Kluyveromyces lactis: one gene and its partners. The protein of the gene in region 1 purifies or fractionates together with the protein of each later gene. This does not show direct contact. Links are inferred from orthologs where the notes say so. Each region holds a gene or a part of one and is shown on either strand. Other genes may lie near its edges.

Region 1 (5,266 bases):
CATTATCCATTGCTACTCTCACCTTTTTCCTTTATATATCTTGATCCCTGTATTTACGGGGTAAACTCTCGATCAATTACCACAGTAAAAACACCACTAATATCAGGATATGAAACTTACCGTATCCAGGTAAAAACTGAACGATTCTTATTTATTAACATTGAAGAACTAGCTGTGTTTTTAGTAGTTAAACTAAGAAGTGAATCTTCAAGCCGGCCTCTATCTCTTTCAAGTGAAAAACATCTCGTTACCCGCACCATCTTGTGCCAGGGAAAAGAAAAAATTCTTTTTGCTTCGTTTGGTTCGTTCTTTAAGTTTTGATGTTCTGTTCAGCATGGAAAAACCAGAAACAGTCAACTTTTGCAGATTAAACAATTTTGAGAATAGAACATTGGTCATTGACTAACTCTCTTATTTTAACTGCAACTTAATTTTTTTTGGAGGCCATTTACAGAAGGGCAGTAAAGTCTTGAAAAGTACCGGGATTTGTCAGTGTACGGGTACTATATCAAGGGGCCAGTGGTTTCAGGGAGCCTGATTGGTTTGTGTATTTAGGTTTTTTTTGTTTGCTATCTTTCTTTGCTTAGATAGAAAGAAAGAACATATATTAATAACAGTATCAATCCGTTTGAAAAACCAATCTGATTAATATCGGTTATCCATTTTTTTTGGGCTCAGTGTGTGATTTTTGGTTTCTCTCACTCGCTCAGTGTCTCGATTTATTTATAGGTCGCTGTTGATTTTGTTAGGAATAAAAGTGATGGGATTCATTGCATCTTTATTGTGTGGTTCAAGCGATTCGGATAGCTCTAGGAAACAGAAGGGTAGGAATTCATCGTCAAGTAACAATAGTAATAAAGGTTCTAGTGGGTCAAGCTCGGAGAAAAGTAAGAGCAAGAATACGCTAAGTGCAAAGAAGAGTGGACGTCCAGGGGTTGCTGCGACTCATTCAAGACAATCAGAAATTCATACTACGTTATCCAATTCTACAGCCAAGATGCATCTGAAAAAGAAAAATGCGGCGAACAAGCATAGCTCAACTGTAGCGGCTGTTGCAAGTGCGCCTGTTGAGAAGAGTCCGCTGTCGAAGAATACGGCTGCTGTTAGTAATAACGATACTGATAGTGATGTCGTTGACGTTGACATGGTTGGAGAGGAAGATGACGATGTGGATGTAAAAGGGGATGAAAAGCAAACACTGTTGGTATATAACGCTGAATCTGATACAAGTACTGGCACAACTGCAGACACCGCAGTGTCTGCAACTCAGCCAACTGCAGAGGTCACGACCACGATTCACGAGACTGAACATACCAGTAGTGCGGATGACTCCGAGGGCATTCATAGTCAAGGCGTTAGCGATGTAGAAATGACAAATGGGGAGCCCGAAGATGGGGAACCTTTGGATTTGTCTCAATTGCAGCCAGATCAGGCCCATGCACCGGGGTGCAATACCTTGTTGTTGCCGAAGGCCGATATGTTTAAGGGTAAGAAATGTCTAGTCTTAGACCTGGATGAAACGTTGGTCCATTCCTCTTTCAAATATCTACGTACTGCTGATTTTGTTATTCCTGTGGAAATCGATAACCAAGTTCACAATGTGTACGTGATAAAAAGGCCTGGTGTCGACGAATTTTTGAGACGCATTACTGAACTATACGAAGTCGTGGTGTTTACTGCAAGTGTGTCCCGCTACGGTGACCCATTGTTGGATATATTGGACAAGGACAAAACTATTCATCATAGGTTGTTCAGAGACTCCTGTTACAACTACGAGGGCAATTATATCAAGAATCTTTCCCAAATTGGTAGACCACTATCAGATATGATTATCTTGGATAATTCCCCTGCTTCTTACATATTCCATCCTCAGCACGCCATTCCAATCTCATCCTGGTTTTCAGATGCCCACGATAATGAATTGCTTGACATCATTCCACTTCTGGAAGACTTGGCTGAAGAGAGGGTACCTGATGTTGGGGAAATCTTAGATGTGACAATATAATTAGTTGGTACTGATTCATTTTATGCTTTGTTTATGCAAACGATTGCATATATTGGGTCTTTTTTTTTTTTGCATGACCACATCTTCTTCTCTCTCTCTCTCCCTCTCTCTAATATTCATTGCCATAGTTTCAAATTGATAGACTCATTAGTACTATAATACTCATCATATTATATTGGGCAAGCAAGGCTGGTTCTTCTTGTGTTCACTTCCTCTTTTTTTTTTTTTTCTTTTTCTCTCACTTTTATTATGGAACTATACTTCTAATCTAATACTGTAAAAGAATATGAAAGGATTCAATTCGTTACATGCAACCCATGATTCAAATTATAAAGAAGATATCTGCTAATCTCGGTAAAAGATAGTTCCTTGCTAAAAACGATTTTTCATTGAAAGGAAAACTTGATCAACTACCTTGATTTATAACTTCAAGAAAAAAGAGACATGTTTCGAGCTTATTAACGTTACAAATTTATAAATATCTAATTCAAAACTGATAGAAATTCATATATTTTATTCATCTTCGGAATCGTTGGATCTATTCGAATTAGATTTCTTGTCGTCCTCGTATTGAAAGACAGTACCGACGATTTGTTTCTTCCTTTCAGGTAAAAATGGCATGTCTTTCCTTGTCTTTCTTTCGTTTCTTTCCCTTCTCTTCAAAGAATCAATTTCAATCTTCTTAATCTCTTGAGCTTTCTTAACAACCTTAGGGACGTGTCTGTGCCTGCTAATTCTTCTGACCTCTGGCATGTGCTTGAATCTTTCTTTAAGTTTTTCATCGTATTCCAACTTATTCTTTTCACGTGTACTCTTCGCATTAGATCTCTCCCATGCCTTGGCTCTCCATAGTCTAACGTTACCATCATCTGAACCACTTACTATATACTTACTGTCCATGGTATATTTCACTTGGAAAATATGCTGCATTCTCTTTGTATGATATATTTCTCTCGAATGACCATGTTTAACTTGGTAAATTCTGATTGTCTTATCATAGGAGCCTGTTACAACTTCGTCACCAGTAGGGGAAAAATCAACATCCATAACAGCACTAACATGATCTTTAAACACATGCAAAGCTTTGGACATATTTCTCATATCATAGTAATAAGCATTATGATCTTCATTGGCAATTACGAAGTTGAAGGCTTCCACTGGGTTCCAACAGATAGAGTTTGTCCTCATGGTTTGAACAATTTTTTGTGTTGGAGAGTTTGTTCTTAGGTCATAAAGAACCACAGAGTTATCACTACCCGTACTTGCTAAAATGTCGACCTCATTTTGATTAAATCTAACATGATTGATATTGTCCGCACCCCATGAAAGATTTGATATTGGCTTTGATCTGTTTGTATCCCAAAGTTCGATTTGGGCACCACCAGTAACAAAATTCGATTTTTGTCTATGATGATCCAAAGATTGGAAAGCATGTTCACCATGGAATGTTTTGATGATACCTTCATCTGTATTCAATCTTGTATCATCTTTAACGTTGGAAAAGTCGTCAGAATTCACTGACCATAGCTTCACCGTCTTATCGTCACCACAAGAAAGCATGAAGTTTTCTCTTTGTGGAGATAAATATGAAGGAGTAACACACAGACCAGTAACCATACCGTAATGTGCCTTGAATGAACTTAACTCTTCTCTAGTTGACATGTTCCAGTACTTGATAACACCGTCACCACTAGCCGTAGCAAGTTTGTTTAATACATTGTAATTCTTTGCAATGGTGTACACACCATCCCTGTGACCGTATCCAAGCTGACCGACAAATGGCTTAGCAAACATTCTTTCAAGCTTGGTGGCATTCAAAGCCTTTGTATATTCTCTAGCTCTTTCGAATGGATGCAGAGCCGGATTTAAATTACGAGGCATCTGAGACTCTTGTGTGCTCTTCACCGGCACATAATCATCGGCACTTCTGCTGATAGTTTTGATCTTCATTTCGCTATTCTTTCAATATCCCCAGTTGGCACTAAATATGGTAGACCTTGTGCTAGTTAATCAGCAACTATGATATGGAAACAGTTCCAGTGGTTTCCTCTTCCCATTCCCTTTCACTGCTTATGATGCGATGAGATGAGATGAGATTTGCATTTCGATAACTTGAAAAATTGTTAAAAAGAAATTATGCCGAATATACAAGGACGATATAAGATGACAGTTAAAGACCTTATTAAAATAACAACAACATGATTTAGCCATTGCTACAGTCACTGAGTACTTGAGTTTCCAAAGCTGTATTGGGATTATCTTTGTGTACCCTTTTTTTACCGTTTAAGTAGTGTCATTAGTATATTATATATCTTACAAAAAATGTAATGATTGCAGAACTGTATATCTATATGTTGGGTTGCACAAAATGGAAACAAAGTGTCAAAATTCCATTCTAGTCTGTGATTCAAAGTTATCTGTATTAATTAACTGGCAAATGTCGGTTTCGGAATTCTCAAATGTGCAAGCATTGGGTTACCAATTCTTTCGATAACGTCACTGGCCCATAGAACATCCAAATGTGAATACTCATCAATATACCAGATTTTGTAGACAGAGTGTGGTTCGTGGTTGATAAAGTGATTAATCAATCTTTCTCCGTCTACAAGTCTATCTTGCCTGGGTGTGAAGAGTAAAATCTTTGGCCAATTTTCTGGCAAAGGTTTATGTTGATTTCTGTGTAAATGTTCATCCATACTTACTGTTTCATTTTGTATTGGGAACCAGGTCTTGATGTCGGGGAACATGTCTTCGGCGAAAGTCTTGAAGCTTGACTTTAAAGGGTTAAGACTTAACCACCATTGCATCAATTTCACAGATATATGCACTGGAGAAAATAGGAAATGTCTATCACGCAAGGGTCTGTCCCATAAAATATCGTTCCAGTTGAACAAGTAGTTGAACATGACGTAAGACAAAAATGAGAATATCTTGTGTCCGGCCAACAAATTTCTCATCTCCATCATCATTGGTACAAATGATTTGTTTCCGAATACCCAGCGATTATCTATGTGTTTCGCCATAAACTTAACGAAATATTTTTCATCGAGTAGTGGACCGGGATAAACAGCAGGTGCTAATGCAACTAAATTATCTAATTTATCACTCAATCTGAACTCTGTATTTTTGTAGATCTCTTCACCATTTACAAGTCCCATAAAAGCTTGTGTGGTACCCTGGGAATGGGCCACTAAGGTAAGCTTCTCAAACTTATTTTGCTTTTTTTGGAGGACACTTTCAATAAGGGCTTCAAGGTCATAT
Region 2 (6,304 bases), about 160 kb from region 1:
AAGGTAACTATGCGCAGGCATTTGATGTCATAAATGCAGTATTGGAGCCTGTGCTTCTCAGAAGAACGAAGAATATGAAGGATGTTGATGGCAAACCTTTAGTCTCTTTACCTCCAAAGGAAGTAATCGTCGAAAAGTTGCAACTTTCATCCAGTGAGAAAAGAGTTTATCAATCCATGTTAGAAGATGCGGAAAACTCTGTTAAAGAAGGGTTGGCCAAAGGTGATCTATTGAAGAACTACACTAATATCTTGGTCCATATTTTAAGACTTAGACAAGTCTGCTGTCATTTGGATTTACTCAAAAAGACACCAGATCTCGGAGACCCAGATCTTGAAGATCTGGAGAACTCAACTCAAAACATCTCCTCCATCCTCATGCCAAAAAATATTAAGTCACCAAAAAGTTCCATTTCTCAAGATAAATTGGATGCTTTAAGTGCGAACTTTCGTGATATTCACAGCGCTTCAGAGCAATTACCTTCTTTTGAATGTGCTATTTGCACCACTGAGTGTATTGAACCGCTGTCTGCGGTCTCTATAACAGAGTGTCTCCACACATTTTGTGAACCTTGTTTGGCAGAATACATTGAATTTCAGCAAAATAAAAAACTATCCATCAACTGTCCATATTGTAGAATGCCGATCTCAGAAGCTAATGTGTTAAAGCTAAAGGAGCCAATTGATGCTGAAAGAGGATATGAACTAATTTCGTTTCATTCACATTTCCAATCGACTAAAATTAAAGCTTTATTGAGGCATCTCAAGCAAATACAAGAAACTTCTCCTGGTGAACAAATAATCGTATTTTCTCAGTTCTCATCATTCCTAGACATTCTAGAAATAGAGCTACGTTCGCATTTGCCAAGAGATCAGGTAATTATTTACAAATTCGACGGACGGTTAGATATGAAGGAACGGACTAGAATCTTGGAACAGTTCCACGATAAGGATTTGAGTTGTATAAAGTTATTACTTTTGTCGTTGAAAACTGGAGGTGTGGGATTAAATTTGACTTGTGCATCAAGAGCGTTTATGATGGACCCATGGTGGTCTCCAGGTATGGAAGATCAAGCGATTGATAGAATACATCGTATTGGTCAGCAGCAAACTGTCAAAGTTGTCCGGTTCATTATCGATAATAGTGTAGAAGAGAAAATGTTAAGAATACAGGAAAGAAAGAGAATGTTAGGGGATATTGTTGAGGGTGATGAGGCAGAAAGGAGACAGAAGAGGATCGAGGAAATCCAAATGTTGTTTCAATAGACTATCATGACATTCAATCATATAGAAGCCTTTTAGGGCTTTGCATTTAAGCTGTTATTTAATTCGTTAATCATCAAGTAGTAGATATTCATCTTTGATCATAAATCCATGGGATACCTTGTTGCGTCTTGCCCATGAACGGATGATATTGAGTCTTATTTCAGAATCACTTAAACAATCAAGATATTTGAGAGCTTGAATTATATCATTGATTCTAAAACCAGTGGCCTCGGAAAGATCCTTCAAAGTGACCTGGGCCACATCTTTCAAATTACCTTCAGTCAACTGCCAAACTATTGAGAAAGACCAAAATTTAAGATAGCCAATTAAACCGAAAGGAGATAGAGGAACTTCAGGACCCGAAATCAGACCCTGACATCTTGATAAAGTGTAGGAAAACTCAATCAAGAGAGTACCCAATCTTCTTCTTTGATAGGGCGGAAAGACAAGAATACATGCAAGGTTATTTTGGTGGTAGGAATATAAGTCTTTTGAAAAAAATGCCATCGGTACTGTAGAATTGTTCTCATACACAATATAGAATTCGAAATGCTTAACTTTGAAGTAGACAGACTTGTTATCAAGAAATAGCTTAGTAAATAGACATAAGCATTGGCAGAAAACTTCATGCTTAGAACCTTTTACCCTTCGTATAGTGTATTCGGGGCTTCTGTATTTTATTCTACCGGGTGGCTTATTCTTATATCGGCAAAAGCACTCATGTGCGATTAACTCTGCTTCATCATCAGTGTACTTGAAACAATATTCACATACGTATAGGGTATCAATCCAATACTGATCTTCAAACTTCTTTTCAGTAGGGCTTTGTTTTGCGGTGTGCTCATTGTTCGATTCCTTGAAGCCCAAGGTCCTCTTATTTCTTCCAAAATAAACATTACTCCCGTACCAAGTTGCAAATCTTTTATTCAAGCCAAATTGGACGTGCCTAATATTAGGCTTGTCAAGAATACCATATATTTCTTCATCCTCTGTTGAGCTGTTGTGCTTATCAGGTTTGGGAACCATTCATTAATGATTTGAAAAGAGGCAAAAAATGCGATTTATCACGTTTCCCAAATTTAATGAGTACTTGAAAACCCAATTAACGGTGGAATCAACTGCTCTTTGAACTTAAATGTACAAAAGATTGCCTATATCTTTGAATTATCAAAACGTTGAAAGCGACTTTCTTTTTTTTTTTTTCATCTTCCTTTATGGCAGAAAAAGCTTTAAAGCTCATCGCATCTCATCGCATCCAAGCTCACCTGCATCTATATATCAAAATCTCGTTGATAACAGGCTGGTAGTCTGAATGTTATAGGCCTCTGTGACATTAACAGTCAAGAGAAGTACCTCGCACGTTAAACGGTCAAAAAATTGAACAACAAACATGGGTACCTATAGGAAGCGCTGGAATGAGAAAGCACGCGCGGGTCAGATGTCTAAGTTGAAGGAGTTGAAGAGAGTAAGGAATAGGCAGTTCACCCGTGCACTTGAAAATTCTTCCGATGCTGATTCTGAAGAAGGTAATTCATCTGAAGATGAACATCATGAATCACCCGATCATCAGGAAGATACGAACGCTGCTGTATTGAAACCCATGACGGAGGAAGAGAAACAAGAGAAAAAGCGTAAATTGGAAGAGCTATTCACACCTAAGGAAACGAAGGTCTCTAGGACGAAGAAAAAAAGGTTAGAGAAGTTCATCGAGCATCAATTGAAAAGAGAGGAGAAAAAAGTTTTGATAGAAAAACTTCAGGACTATAAAATTGATACTAAGCTTTTGACAAGTTCTAAGATTTTGGGACAAGGAAGGCAAACTAAGAGGCAAGGGATTGAAGAAGCCCTCAAATTAGAAAGAAATGGACGTGGTGATGAAACTACCAGGGAAATTCTTTACGATGAAACTGAGGTAAGGGATTGGTATCAAGATCATCCAGAAACTAGGCCCAGTCAGGAAAGCACAGCTGAAAATTGCAATTCGGATAGTGATGAAACGGACCATACCAGTTCAGATCACCCTATTTCGGCAAATACTGGGGGATTTATTGATAATAGACCCAGTAAATTTGGTGGGTCAGGTTTTGGTTTTGGATTCGGTAATGCAAAGGTGGTGAATAAAAGGGCCTCGAAGAAAAGGTATAACTGGAAGCAAAAGGTAGAGCAAGAAGAACGTAGAAGGCGTAAACTGGATGATGATCAGGATTTTGAATCTGACGAAAGTGAATCAGAAGAACATTCATCCACTGCAGAAAGTGAACCTGATGAGAGTGAATCTAATAGTAATGCTGATAGTCACAGCGATGATGAGTCGAGTGAGTCTGACGGCGAGGAAAGATCGGATTCAGAAATAGCGCAGTGCAGAAACGTAAGTTCTTCAGTTGCCCAAGAATTTAAAGAGTGGGCAAATCAGGAAATTAAAAAGCTTGAAGGTAGAGATGTAGAAATGGTTATGCCTTCCTCCAACATCAAGGTCGATAGGACCGAGAGACCTGAAGACTTTGAAGATGGACTCAAAGCAGATGAATTTAATGTGAACGAAAATTCAACACGTAAGGCTTTTTATGTCAAGGTACGGAGATCTGATGCTGTTCAAGCTGTGAGAAGCGCACTACCTGTTTTCGCCGAGGAACATAGAATTATGGAAGCTATCCATCATAATGACGTTGTAATCATTTGTGGTGAAACTGGTTCAGGTAAAACGACACAGGTACCGCAGTTTCTTTACGAGGCAGGATATGGTAATTCGTCCTCAACTGACACGCCTGGGATGATTGGAATAACACAACCTAGAAGAGTGGCCGCTGTCTCTATGGCTGGACGTGTTACTAATGAGATGGGTGATCATGGCGAATATGTAGGATACCAAATTCGGTTCGATTCTTCTACCAAGGATAAAACAAGAATGAAATTTATGACTGATGGTGTTTTGCTAAGAGAGATGATGAACGATTTTAGACTTTCTAAATACTCTTCTATCATTATCGATGAAGCTCACGAGAGGAACATCAATACAGATATTTTGATTGGTATGTTAAGTCGTTGTGTCAGCTTACGTGCTAAGGAGCATGCAACTGATCCGGCTAAGTACAAAAAACTTAAACTAATTATCATGTCTGCCACCTTGAGAGTATCAGATTTTAGTGAAAACCCTACTTTATTCCCTGTTTCTCCACCTGTCTTAAAGGTCGACGCCAGGCAGTATCCAGTGGCTGTACATTTCAATCGTAGAACAGCTTATAACTATGCTGAAGAGGCTTTCAGGAAGACGTGTAAAATACATCAAAGGTTGCCTCCTGGTGCTATCTTGGTTTTTATGACAGGACAGCAAGAGATCACGCACATGGTAAAAAGGTTAAGAAAAGAGTTTCCTTTCCCCAAGAAACATCAAACTCTCATTCAAAATGACCACATACCTACAGTGAAAATAGATGCCAAAACTGCAGATGTAGAAGCTGAAGATATCGACTTCAGTGTCAGAGTTAGAGAGGAACAAGAATTTGACGATTGTTTACTCTCTGATGAGGAAGATATTGAGGACAAAGAAGAGGACGAAGAAGAAGGTTTTGAAGAAACACTTGAAGAAGGTCAGACGGATAGAGATCCACTATATGTTCTTCCTCTTTACTCGCTATTGCCCACCAAAGAGCAAATGAAGGTCTTCCTTGATCCCCCACCAAACTCCAGATTATGTGTTGTTGCTACTAATGTGGCAGAAACATCATTGACCATACCGGGAGTAAGATACGTCGTTGATTGTGGTAGATCAAAGGAAAGAAAGTTTGATGAAAATAATGGTGTTCAGAGTTTCGAAATTGACTGGATTAGCAAAGCTTCTGCTGGCCAAAGAAGTGGTAGAGCAGGGCGTACAGGGCCTGGTCATTGTTATCGTTTATACTCCTCTGCAGTTTTCGAAAGAGATTTTGAGCAGTTTTCTAAGCCTGAAATTTTAAGAATGCCTGTGGAGAGTATAGTTTTGCAAATGAAGAGCATGGCTGTTCATAATATTGTGAATTTTCCATTCCCTACCCCACCCGAAAGACCAGCTTTGATGAAGTCAATAAAGCTCTTACAACACCTAGGTGCACTCGACAGTAATGAAAGAATCACTGATGATGGTAAAGCAATGAGTTTGTTTCCGCTAAGTCCAAGATTTTCTAAAATGCTGCTTGTTGGTAATGAAAGCGACTGTTTGAAATATGTTGTTACCATTGTCAGTGCCCTTTCAGTAGGTGAGCCGTTTTTATCTGAACAAGAGCTTGGTATCATGGATACTGTGCCCAAGACACAAGATGAAGGACAATTAGATGACTATCCTGATCACGAAGCTGAGGAAAGAAAAAGGCTATTGCGCTCCAAGTATGTTAAAAGCAAAATTAGATTTAGTAAGCTTGATAAATTCAGTGATGTTTTCCGTCTTTTAAGTGCAGTATCTGCGTTGGATTTCATTCCAAAGGATCAGCACAGTTCTTTCATGGAAAAAAATTTCTTAAGGGCAAAAACCGTAGAGGAGATTATGAAGTTGAGAAAGCAGGTGATGTTCATCATCAGGTCAGTTACTTCGAGAGAAAATGTAGCTGTAAATGTTAAAGACGAAGACTTGAAGAGCTCGATCCCCACCGATGTTCAAATCAAATTACTCAAGCAAATGATCACAGCAGGATTTATCGACCAGGTGGCCGTTCGCGCAGACCAGTTATTCCCGGAAGACGTTACTATCAACAAAACCAACATTTTCAATATCCCTTATGTTCCAGTCCTTGCTGAGAAAACATCTTCTTTGGATGATATCTTTGTTTATATTCATCCAACCTCAATTCTCAACAATTCTGGCGAGCAACCTCCGAAATACTTGGTTTTCCAATCACTACATGTCAATAAAAATAATGAAAAGGCGAAAACAAGGATGAAGTCTCTTTGTGACATTAAAAGCACGCCATTGGCTAACGTTGCAAGAAAGGGCTCGTTACTCACTTACGGAAAACCAATCACTGGACAAGGTTTGAAACCTATTGATTTATCGCCAACAGAAAGATTCT
Region 3 (5,439 bases), on another chromosome or scaffold:
TTGGGGTGGAAGCACGGATAGTAGTGACATCGTAAGTTTCTAAGTGGTAGATAACATCGTCCAAAGCGTCTAGACCTTCCTGTAAAGTGAAAGTATGTTCGTGATGGATAGAACCGATGAATGTAGCCACCTTACGAGCAGCTTGTAAATCTGGAGCGTTTGGCAAACCAACAGCGAATGAGTGCAATCTAGACCAGCCAGCAGCATGTAGATGACCTTGTTCGTCAAGCCCAGCCAATTGATGTGGGTCACTGTCATAAACAACTGGATCAAGTTCGGCATTAGTTTTTTCTGTTTCTCTTGCGGCAATAGCAGCAATCAAAGAGGAATCCAAACCACCGGACAATAGAACACCGTAAGGAACTTCAGCCATTAATCTCTTTCTAACAGCCTTTTCCAAACTTTCTCTAACAGCCTTAAAGTCAACTGGGGTGGTTGGAATTCTGGATTCGTCCAACCAGTCAGGAGTGAAATATCTGGTCAATTTGTCAGTTTCAGAGTCGTATACGTGACCTGGTGGGAAAGCAATGATTTCATCACAGTCATCGGTCAAACATTTCAGTTCACTGGAGAACCAAACAGACTTTGGAGAAGCAGAGGATCTACCCATGTAAAGAGTGGTAATACCGATTGGGTCTCTGGCAGCGATGATACGATCCTTCTTAGAATCGTACAAACACCAAGCGAACATACCATCCAAGTGTTTTGGAGCATCGATATCGTACTTTTCGTATAATGGAATGATAGGTTCACAGTCAGACAAAGTCTTGAATGGATAGCTTGCACATTCTTCTCTCAACATGATATGGTTGTAAATTTCACCATTGACGGCCAAAGTGTAAGAACCATCTTCGGAAGTGATTGGTTGGGCACCAGAGTCCAATCCGACAATAGCCAATCTTTCGTGAACTAGAATAGTAGAGTTCTTAACAATGTTACCTGACCAATCTGGACCACGGTGTCTGATTCTCTTGGATAATTGTAAAGCTTTTGGTTTGTAAGCCTGAACATCAGGGTTTCTGAATGAAGCAAATATACCACACATCTTGGGTCCTGTTACTTCGTTATTCTGTATATCTAATTGATAAGAGCGAGTAAAAAACCAATACTAATACAAAACAAAGATCCTAACATAAACATATAAACAATTCTTATTACAAGCGAGCATTAGTTTTCTTGTGATGAGCATCAATTCTTTATACTTTTTCCAAAATTTTTCACCAGAGCTTGAATCGCCGTATTCTTTTTTCTTTCGAGATATTGAAAATGACTCAGTATCAATTGCATATCAAAAGAATATGACAAAGCAGCAGAGAAACGAAAAGTAACGAAGTGAAAATGAAAATTGGTGCCAGATTCTAACTCTGATTCATAGTTGATTCATTTGTTCCCGCTCCGACTTGTCATATTCACGATACCATCGTATCACGGCATTTTTTTCTATCTAATATTTACGTTTACGTTTACAGTTAGTTTAGTTTTTGAAATGAATCGCACAAGGCGATTCATATTAGCAAGAAGCAAGACTCAAACACACAAACTCACATCAAGTCTATACATGGGATGACCTTCCCAAAAAGAATCAGAATTTTATAAAAAGTGTCCCAAATCATTCAAAGAATGTAACAAGATTATAAGGCTTGCGAGGGCACCACATTCTCCATTAAAACCATGAACAGAAAATAATTCCCATCCACGAAAGAATTGTAAGAATTAAAAAAGCGCAAATAGTATCATCGTCTTCTTTTAAAACTTGGAAGGTCATGTGGATTTAAGCCCAAAAAGAGTAATACAAGTAAAGCCTATCAAAGTTACATCTCTTCTACATCACCAATTGTGTCTTGTAATTTCTTGGTTCATAAATCTTTCTCTTATATATGATGAAATTCGGGCTAGATCATTTTATACTAATCGTTGAAATTTGTATGCTGTTAGGGCTCATAGGCTGCCGTGAACTGGAGGATACGCACCCCCTGAAGGAACGAGCATCAGTGTGCGTATTCAAGGTGATGCAGGCAAGACTTGACTGACAACAGAATGGTTTACCACTCTAAATTATATATTTAATGTCGCCATTGATAGCTAGTTTATTAGGAAATGCGATCACGTGATAAGAATAATTTCTTTTCAATTGTCTTCTACATTGCAAGAATCTCTGAAAAATTTGGAATCAAGAGATGAGATGAGATGAGATGAGATGAGATGAAGTCGAATAGGAAACGTTAAGGTAGGATATTCTCACCGTTATAATCTGTTTGATTACTCGCAATAAATAATTGGAATTCACATATAAAAGTTTCCCAAGGATTCAGACAGCGATTAACCAAGATGCTCTCGAAGGAAGAGATTAAGCAAGTTTGGAAGTCTATTAGCACCGGCAATGATAGAAAACATTACAACTCGTTGGTGAACCTAATCCATGGGTACAATGAACTTCTAAAGGAAAACGAATTGTTGCACAATTTGGAAGATGATTACCGTTATATGACCATTGCTTTGAGTCAGATTTTCATCAAACTTTTTGAGCGTGGTCAATTGATGCCTCATCTTGCATCCAATGCCAATGAAAAGAAATTCTTTGAATGGTGTAAGAAACTATATTTAAATTATAAGGTTAAGTTATTGGCTATCATTACATCTTTGCATGAAGTTAACTCGTTGAGTTTAGATTGTTTGGACTCATATATGAAAATGCTTCACCATGAATCGATATATTGGGCTTCGAAACCAAATAGTCCTTTCTTTCCAAATAAGACTTTAAGATCGTTACTAGTGGCTCTTTTCCATTGTAACTTTGAAGGTGATATCGGTTTCAAAGATGGTCAGAGCGAGAATCCCGTGTTTAATCTATTTGTGGAAGCCTATTATAAGAAGAATTTCGATATTCAATTCTACACACAATCAGAACTGATATCGTTGTTACCAGAACTTGATGGCCAAACATCTGACGAAATTTTGATGTCTAAATGGTTGGCTTTATGCAACAACGATGTTCAGGGATCACCAGACTTGGAAATATTCGTATCTGTGCCCCCACAAGCCATCGAGAATGATGCTAAGTTTAAATCCAACCTCGAAACAAATTGGTTGCACTGTCTAAATTTAGCCAACTTATCCAGTAGCCAATATAAAACTGTGCTTTTAGTGCTACACAAGAGAATTATAGTATGGTTCCATCAACCAACAAAGCTTATGGATTTCCTTACCGACTCTTACAACCAAGGTGGTATCGTTTCAATCCTTTCATTAAATGGTTTGTTTGAACTTATGAAAAAATACAACCTAGAATATCCAAATTTCTACTCAAAACTATATCAGCTTCTAACTCCAGAAGTAATGCACGTTAAGTACAGATCAAGATTTTTCAGATTAGTGGACACCTTTCTATCTTCTACACATTTATCCGCACAACTGGTAGCGTCATTCATCAAACGTTTGGCACGTTTATCCGTATCGGCACCACCAGGTGCTATTGTTTCTATAATACCATTCGTGTACAATCTAATCAGAAAGCATCCTACATGTATGATTCTATTACACGATCCAGAATACATCGACTGCGATTCAAAGAAAAGGCAAGAATATCTAGATCCATTCAACAATGAAGAAACCAATCCAGAACTTACAAATGCTCTTTCCTCCTCAGTATGGGAGCTAGAAACGCTAATGAATCACTACCATCCAAACGTAGCCACTTTAGCGAAGATTTTCCAACAACCTTTCCAAAAGTTAAGCTACAACATCGAAGATTTCTTAGATTGGTCTTACGATTCACTTTTGCAAGCAGAAACCAATAGAAAGCTGAAGATCCAACCTGCTCTTGAATTCGAAAGGTTTGAAACAATTTTCGAATCAGGTTCTGATTCAGCATTCCTACCCTTCATAAAATGGTAAATACATAATTTCAAGTAGAAAACTTAAGTAGTTCAATTCCAAATTGAGTACTTTCTTTCACTTTCGCAAATCTCTTCACATTACATCTCATCACATCGCCGTAATATTGAAACATCGAGATGAAAAAAATCAACAAGTCAACATCAAGAAGAGAAAGACTCACATCAGAAAAAACTTTAAAATGGGCTCCGTTTATCGGTCTTGAGGACTTAAAGGCACATACCATACCAGTTGGCTGCTTTTTTACCACTACTATTGAATAAATGACTGAGGAAGTGAAAGCCTGTAATCCAGAGAAAGCCTTAGAGCTGAAGAATGAAGGTAACAAGTTCGTGAAGGAGAAACTGTACGCAAAGGCAGCTGAGTATTATACAAAAGCCATCGAGCATGATCCCGAGAATACGATCCTATATTCAAACCGTGCGTTCACCAACCTAAAGTTGGATAACTTCCAAAGTTCTTTAGACGATGCTAAACGTGCAATTGAATTGGATAATAACAATTTGAAAGCCTATCACCGCAGAGCTATGTCTTACATTGGGCTACTAGAGTTTAGAAAGGCAAGGAAGGACTTGATCATTGTGTTGAAATTCAAGCCTAACGAGCTCACTGCAAAAAATGCATTAGCAATCTGTGATAAAGTCATACAGAAGGAGAATTTTGAAAAAGCTATTAGCGGTGGAGACTCTTCTAAAGTTGATTTATGTCAAACTTTAAATATCAGCTCATTCGATGCAAATGCCGATCTCCTCAAATATGATGGTAAAACCTTGGAATTCGAACAAGTGAAGTCAGATTCTGGGGCCAATGCTGGTGTCAGAGTTAACAATATGAACCAGGAATTCATTTCTTATATGATTAATGAGATTTTCCTAGAAGGTAAAAAGCTTCCAAAGGCTTACGTTGCAGCGATCATTTCTCATGCAGACTATTTGTTCAAGCAAGAAAACAGTGTTGTTGAACTTGATAACAGAGAAAAGCCGGATACAAGAATTTCTGTATGTGGTGACACGCATGGTCAATTTTATGATGTTCTGAACATCTTCAAAAGTTATGGGAAAGTAGGCGGCTCCAATGTATATTTATTCAATGGTGATTTCGTAGACCGTGGATCATGGTCTTGTGAAGTGGCCATTTTATTCTATTCTTTGAAAATCGTGTATCCACAGAACATTTACTTGAACAGAGGTAATCATGAAACCAACAGCATGAATAAAGTGTACGGGTTTGAAGACGAATGCAAATACAAGTACTCCCAGCGCATTTTCGATCTTTTCTCACAAAGCTTCGAATCTCTACCATTAGCCACTGTCATCAATAGTTCATACCTGGTCGTGCATGGTGGTTTGCCAAGTGATACTTCTGCCACTGTAGAAGATATGAAGAAAATTGATAGATTCCACCAACCACCAAGAGAGGGAACATTTATGGAGTTATTATGGGCGGATCCACAGGCTCCGGATGGATTTGGACCATCTCCTCGTGGCTTAAGTAATGCGTTTGGGCCTGACATTACTAGAAAGTTCTTGAAACAGAATAATTTAA
Region 4 (6,309 bases), about 830 kb from region 1:
GGATGGTGCCATCTCTTCGTTGAGAATTTGTTCTGCACTTTCTTGTTTTCTCTTCTTGCCGGACTTGATGGCCACAGTTCCTTGGGATTTGACAGCTTTTGACAATTCTTTGGAAGATTCTTCCCAGCCCTCGCCAGTTTCATCAATTTCATATTTATTTAGGTTCAAGGAATTGATCAATTCTTTCTGCTTTTCTCTCATTGCGCTGATAGCTTCGTTCCCTGCATTTTCAAGGTCATCTTCCATTTTGTCAATGACTTCGGCAGCATTGTAAGACAACACTTCTTCGCCATTCATTTCGGCAATTTCTTGGTCCTTGATTTGAGGTAAGGTTTTTTCAATAGACTCGCTTAAAACTTCCCTGAAGAAATTGGTGAATTTCCTGATAATCTTGGAGAACATGGCAATAGTTTGATTGGATGGTAAGTTCAACTCTTTCGTTATGTCATCAATGCCCTTGTGTTGCAAACCAATTGCAAGTAGTATACACGATTGTACGCTTGATAATGATACACCGTCACCCAGCTTTCCACTAAAGTATAGCAATGCCATCATTGGTAGAAGATCAACAATGACATGATAATCCAGTAAGTTGTTAGCATAGCTTTCTAACCTCTTTAGATCGAATGGAGAAAAGATGGAATCCAATTGGTCCCTTGTTAAAACCTTATTCTGGAACGATCTGCCCTCCGAGTCTTGGTCTAGTGTTTCACCCTTCTTAGCAGATTCAATGACATTTAACGCTTCGATGGCAGTGAATTTCTTAAAGTCGAACGATAATAAAGACAAGAATCTTTTATGGAAATCTTTGGCAAATTCTGCCAGCCATTTTGATTCACGACCTTCAAGAACTTTAACCATAACACATGTATGTTCACCAGTCAAATCATTCGCTGTTTGACGTAAGTAAACTGGGACAAATCCGTTGTTTTTCCAGAACTTATGTAAAGATTTTGTTAAACCATATGAAACACCTAAGTAATGCAAAAAGTGAGGGGTTTGTTCTGAGAGTTTCAGAAGCAATGGTGGCAACGTCTTTGCATCCCTTAATTTGATTTCATCTTTCAAGAGGTCTGCTTTCTTCAAATCCCTGTCATCGACTCTCTTGATTGTGTAGTCCTTTTGTACCGTATCTTCATTCAAATCGGTGAATTTACCTTCGAAATGATCTTTCAATAACTCCAGAGCCCTAGACCCATAACCCATAGAGGCGTATTCCGGATTGGTTGCAATCCTAACAACACGGGCACCACTCAAACCGGCAAATTCTTCATCTTGAAATTGCTGTGAGATTAGCCATGGAATTAAGTCACCACCAGCTCTTTGACCTCTTGCCAAAGAATTTCTGACAGAATCCTTCGAGATCTCACCTTCCAATGCGACCTGGATGACCACTAAGGGATCAGGTATTCTGCCGCCATCTTTTGGATCGATGGGAGGCAATAAAACGAATAGTTGATGAGCAGGTGCATCACTCATTAATTGCAAGTCGTTAGGAGAATTCTTGTAATGCGATGCGACATAAAGAGCCATCATCTTCTCCAGAAAATTTTCAGAAACAGGATGATAAGAAAATAGAGTATCTCTATTGACGATGAATAAATTACATTGAGATGGATGAGGTGTGCCTCTAGCAGCAAATCTTGGATTTTTGATTAGTTGAACGTCCAAACAAAGTAATTTATTCAACCATTTTTCAACTGGGTCACCAGGAGCGTATCTGATAGGTTCATCTAAGACAACTTCTCTCAAAGAACGGCCACTTGTTTGAACTTCTTGTTTCTTTGAATCTCTGGAAACAAGTGCTGTTTCGGAATCTTCACGGCCAGTACCGTTGGATTGAGTTCTTAGCTGTTGAATCAATTTCAAAGACAAAGATCTACCGGTACCTTCATAACCGTTAATAGTGGATGCCATAAACACTAAGTACGGACCCAAAAGCTTCTTTACAAGTGGTAGTGGAATTGCGGCAGCTTCATCAATGACAACAAGTTCTGCCTGTCCCAACACATGAGAATCATTTGGAATAATATATTGAATGGTCTGTCTATGTTCTCTCTTGATGTCTACTCTGACTATGGCTTTGTTGAAGCTTGGATTGGTGGACTGAATGATATCATAATCAATGTGCTCCTGATAGCCTAGAGCGTCAAATCCTTTGAAAATAAACTCAAATAAAGTCTTCAAATTCTCAGGGGAAGGAGATGTTACAAAGATATTGGAGTAACCATGGGATACAGCAGCAGCAATAGAAATACCTAGAGCAGCTGATTTACCTCTACCTCTACCTGCCGTCAATGCTACAGTTGAATTTAAAGTTTTCTCTGAAATGGCATCAATGAAGGTCAAGATTGCATGAGCTTGATTAACCGTTTTTGAAAGAGCAACTAATGATCCCGCAGGCTGAACATCTTCTAAAGACACTTTCAATTCTTTTAGTTCTTGATTTTTTGGTGAAATTTCTTCATCATCCTTTGGTGGAAGTGGTTTTACGTTTTTTCCTCCAGATATAGGTAAAACGTTTAACTCACTATCTACTACCAAACAGTTTTCATTCGAACCCAAGGACAAGATAAATCTTTCGTTGAATCTTGCCACGACATCGTCATGAGCTTCCGTTCTATAACGAGAGTGGATATCCATAGTCATAGTGTATAACTGTTTTAGAGAGGAAATGGACTTTAACATGATAACAATGATACCACCACCTTCAACGGTTTCGATGGTTCTTGCTAGCAAATTTGGAGTCAAAGCTTCAAAATCTTGTAGGATACACATACCATAAGTGTTACCCAAAATTTTTTCAGTTTCCTTATAATAACAGTATCGAATGTTTTGGTTAGAGATGAAAGTTTCAAAAGGATCTTGTTCATTTATCTCTCTGGTACCTCTCTTGATCTCTTTCTTAATCTTTGCTTCTCTCTTCTTCCTGTGTGAAGTGAAACCCAAGAGTTTCTTCTTATACGTCCATAACACGGATTTATTCATTTTGAGGTCAGCACTCATCATTAAATAGTGCAAGTTCGGTAGCTGGTTACGAGCATTGTCACCAACGATAACGAAAAATGATCTCTGATTTGTTTGAACACCATTTCTGATGAGAGCTGGGATACGAGAATCAATAGCTTTTTTACCCATCGTAATCTAACTTCTGGTTTAAAGTTTTAAGAACACACTCTTTAACAACAAACAATGACAGTTACGTTTCGCTGGAAGTTCGACCGTTGGGAAGAGTTAGTGTTTTTAATGATTTTTTTTGTAGTAACGAAGTACAGTAATCAGGTATTTTGGGGAGAAATAAACGTCTCGTAATACTCAGATAGCTTCTCAGCAAACCACCTCATCTCATTTGATCTCATCTCATCTCGAAATAAAATTCCTACCTAATACGATGAAATAGTAAAAAGACAATGAAAAAAAAAAAAAAAAATTAGGCAGAGAAAAGAAAAGATACTACTTACCCGGAATTATTTGATGAAAATATACTGTTACCCGCATGAATTTCATGCGCAGTGTAATTTCGGCGGCTAATTTCAAGAAATGACTACGTGTGCATAATGCACCATTATGTGATGTCGACTAATATTTTAAATTCATATTTAAACTTCAGTAGTAGTTTTCATGGGTATTAATTAAAGTTTTCTTCATGACTGACGAAAAGGGAAAAACTAACATTATATAAATACCAGTATTTTTGTGTCACAAGGAATAAGGGCAATATTCTTATGAAATAGATCCGATGAATAAGATAAGAGGTTAAGAACTGACATCAGAACGAGGTTCGATTATAAGGTTGTTTCTTTACCTGAACAAGCGCAGTTGTGGTTATCTCTTATACGGAACGTACGATTCCTAGGTTTTATTTTGGTTTTATTTTTTCGTGGTCATTCAGGTAAGCTCGGCGGTTATTCCATAGCAATAGCCAGGAGGAGAGTGAGAGCTAACTATATTTTCTTTTAATAGGAACAGAGTATAGTTTTATGTGATCAAACTTGCTATGATGGAGGATTTGGACCATCTGAACGATGAGAATATCAATATAGATGAGAACGAATTTTTGGAAACACTTGATAATGCTGACGGGGACGTGATCAAAACTTTTAGGAACGCTGACGGGTCATTAAGTAGTCATTTTGACAAGAGAAAAGTTCGTATTGCTCCAAGGTCAACATTGCAGTTCAAAATAGGCCCAGGCTTTACGCCAGTGGTGCCCAATCACAAGATATTGAACGATTTTGGACAGATTCAAGAAATCAAATTGGAGCCTCGGATTGATCGAGGGTTTGATTTCATAGATGACGATTGGATTGGTTATAAAAGAAATTATTTCACCGTGGTAACTTCATTTGACACACCGGGGACTGATCATATCGAGTTCATGAAACAAGCGTATCATTTAGATAACGGTGTGGAGATCAAATACTTCGCTACCAAATTAGCCGCCAAGTGTTTGGAAGATGATAAATTGATTAACCTAGTTCAACACACTGCAAAGCGAGATAAAGGCCCTCAATTTGCTCCTCCAATACATGTTATTGCACCTGCAAATTTGCCGAAGCACCAGATTATAAGAGATGCATCGAACGTGAGAAACGAATCCAAGATGAAAAAATTTGATAGCTATTTTTTCCTTCATAAAGAAGACGTTGGAACAGGATGTGAAGTAAGGAGTGTCTTGGCAAACTACCCATCGGATCCAATCAAAAAAGTAGCAAGGTATGAAAGGATACAGTTCGCCTCTTCTATAACTTTGAAGAAAACTAGCCAACAAAATAGACGGTTTTCACTTTTAGTGGTTTTAGGCTGCTATGTGAAGGGAAGACATGACGGTATTCAGCAGTCATCACCTTATCATGAATTGGATCATTATGATGAAGAGACTGACATGACGTTTGTTCCAATTCTAATGGAGAAGACGCCGCCTCTCATAATAAGAGGAAGATCTCCCTCTAACTATTGCCAACAAATCAAAGTCATGCATACCAAGAAATCAGATTTTGATAATGGTTCCCCACAAGAAAACGATCTTGATGTGCCAGCTGATAAGAAAGAGCGGAAAAGGCGAGGACGAAAAAGTAAGCAACCAGATCTTAAAACTACTGCAAATGTGTCTCACGATAGCGCTGGTCGAATCCCAACACTTCTAACCAATGGATTGCCGTCCACATTCGAAATATCACCGACTAGTGGTAACATGAGAATTAAGAATATACAACTGCACTCGTCAAGCACTGAGACCTCATTTCCAAGAGGTTTCCAATCTGAGTCATTGTCAGTAGCATATTTCAGTAACAGTGCCACTCCCATACAAGACTCGATTTTTAAGAAGAGAAGACTTAATATTAGTAAACCTGTTGTACTGGAGTCAAACCTTGAAGAACCGCTGGATGACATTACAGAAAATATCTTTAATACAATATCTTTTGAGGAAAGGACTCCATCGAAAGAAAACAAAGAGCGATTATCTTCTACAAGCGTATTCCTCCTGAAGCATGTGACTTACGATGTTTCAGAGCCTCCTGCGGTGGCAATTCCCAGGGCCATGCTTCCAAACAAGATGGAAATTTCCTACTGTTTGAATGATTATTCATCAAGTTTTATCGAATATCCACCTCCTAGTACGTCACATAAAAGATTGCCTGGTTCGAGAAGGCTCTTAACAGCCTCCGGAAACCCTTCGGATCTATTAAACCCTGCAGACTGGTCGGATGGGCCGAGCATCTTCCGTCATTAATAGCTTTCGCCTTATAAACAACCGCAACTGTTATCCGTAGCGTAGACAAATGATGCTGCAAACAGTTCTGGCAAGGAGGGATGTATTTTGGAGAGACAGACGGAATGGGTAATCTTACTTGCGTTAATTTCCGAACTTGAAAACAGACGTCTCTCATTTTTCCATGAAAAAACAATAAATTTTACAATATAGAGAGAGAGAGAGGCGCTGACAAATAAAGCCAGGCAAACTAAACGAACGTTCACCAGAACATGTCAGACATCTTGAATTCAATTTTTTGTTAGCTAATTGGTTTCAGACAGAATTTTCTTTGCATATTCTCACGGAGTTAATACAGCCAAAGATTACTATCCCAAATCACAGATGGCGGATAACCCGAAAGCCCCAACGTTCATCAAGGAGGGTTCTGGAGATTTGGAAAGCCAAAGGAGAAACGAGCAAGTCAATCGAGAAGTTGGCGAATTGGTTACAAGAAAGTCGCTCAGCGATCAATTGAGAGAAAATTCCAAGAAGAAACGCCAACAATTTCAGAGACAGACAAAGGAAAAGAACAGCTTCACGAGAGTGTCAAACGA

What was found.
Region 2: the proteins of SOF1 (region 1) and ECM16 purify together in Saccharomyces cerevisiae (affinity purification with mass spectrometry; 4 studies listed by BioGRID). This does not show direct contact. The link is inferred for Kluyveromyces lactis from reciprocal best matches to the Saccharomyces cerevisiae genes SOF1 and ECM16.
Region 3: the proteins of SOF1 (region 1) and NOC4 purify together in Saccharomyces cerevisiae (affinity purification with mass spectrometry; 7 studies listed by BioGRID, with this or other methods). This does not show direct contact. The link is inferred for Kluyveromyces lactis from reciprocal best matches to the Saccharomyces cerevisiae genes SOF1 and NOC4.
Region 4: the proteins of SOF1 (region 1) and KRE33 purify together in Saccharomyces cerevisiae (affinity purification with mass spectrometry; 3 studies listed by BioGRID). This does not show direct contact. The link is inferred for Kluyveromyces lactis from reciprocal best matches to the Saccharomyces cerevisiae genes SOF1 and KRE33.

The regions. Positions count from the first base shown.
Region 1 is NC_006042.1:1,438,299-1,443,564, reverse strand, and holds SOF1 (rRNA-processing protein SOF1), read right to left. Parts: upstream 3,956-5,266; coding exon 2,519-3,955; downstream 1-2,518. Other genes in the region: POM34 (Pom34p), read right to left, coding at 1-10; PSR1 (phosphatase), read left to right, coding at 761-2,005; KLLA0_F15576g (uncharacterized protein), read right to left, coding at 4,432-5,266. UniProt on the Saccharomyces cerevisiae protein: Required for ribosomal RNA processing.
Region 2 is NC_006042.1:1,596,248-1,602,551, reverse strand, and holds the start of ECM16 (ATP-dependent RNA helicase ECM16), read left to right. Parts: upstream 1-2,655; coding exon 2,656-6,304. Other genes in the region: DNA helicase RAD5, read left to right, coding at 1-1,265; SAS2 (histone acetyltransferase), read right to left, coding at 1,332-2,291. UniProt on the Saccharomyces cerevisiae protein: Probable ATP-binding RNA helicase. Required for 18S rRNA synthesis. May play a role in restructuring of the pre-rRNA.
Region 3 is NC_006038.1:951,791-957,229, forward strand, and holds NOC4 (ribosome biosynthesis protein NOC4), read left to right. Parts: upstream 1-2,328; coding exon 2,329-3,894; downstream 3,895-5,439. Other genes in the region: ASN1 (asparagine synthase (glutamine-hydrolyzing) 1), read right to left, coding at 1-1,045; PPT1 (protein serine/threonine phosphatase), read left to right, coding at 4,158-5,439. UniProt on the Saccharomyces cerevisiae protein: Involved in nucleolar processing of pre-18S ribosomal RNA and ribosome assembly. Has a role in the nuclear export of 40S pre-ribosomal subunit to the cytoplasm.
Region 4 is NC_006042.1:2,271,739-2,278,047, forward strand, and holds the start of KRE33 (ribosome biosynthesis protein KRE33), read right to left. Parts: upstream 3,139-6,309; coding exon 1-3,138. Other genes in the region: transcription factor NDT80, read left to right, coding at 3,998-5,734; FYV6 (Fyv6p), read left to right, coding at 6,098-6,309. UniProt on the Saccharomyces cerevisiae protein: RNA cytidine acetyltransferase with specificity toward both 18S rRNA and tRNAs. Catalyzes the formation of N(4)-acetylcytidine (ac4C) at positions 1280 and 1773 in 18S rRNA.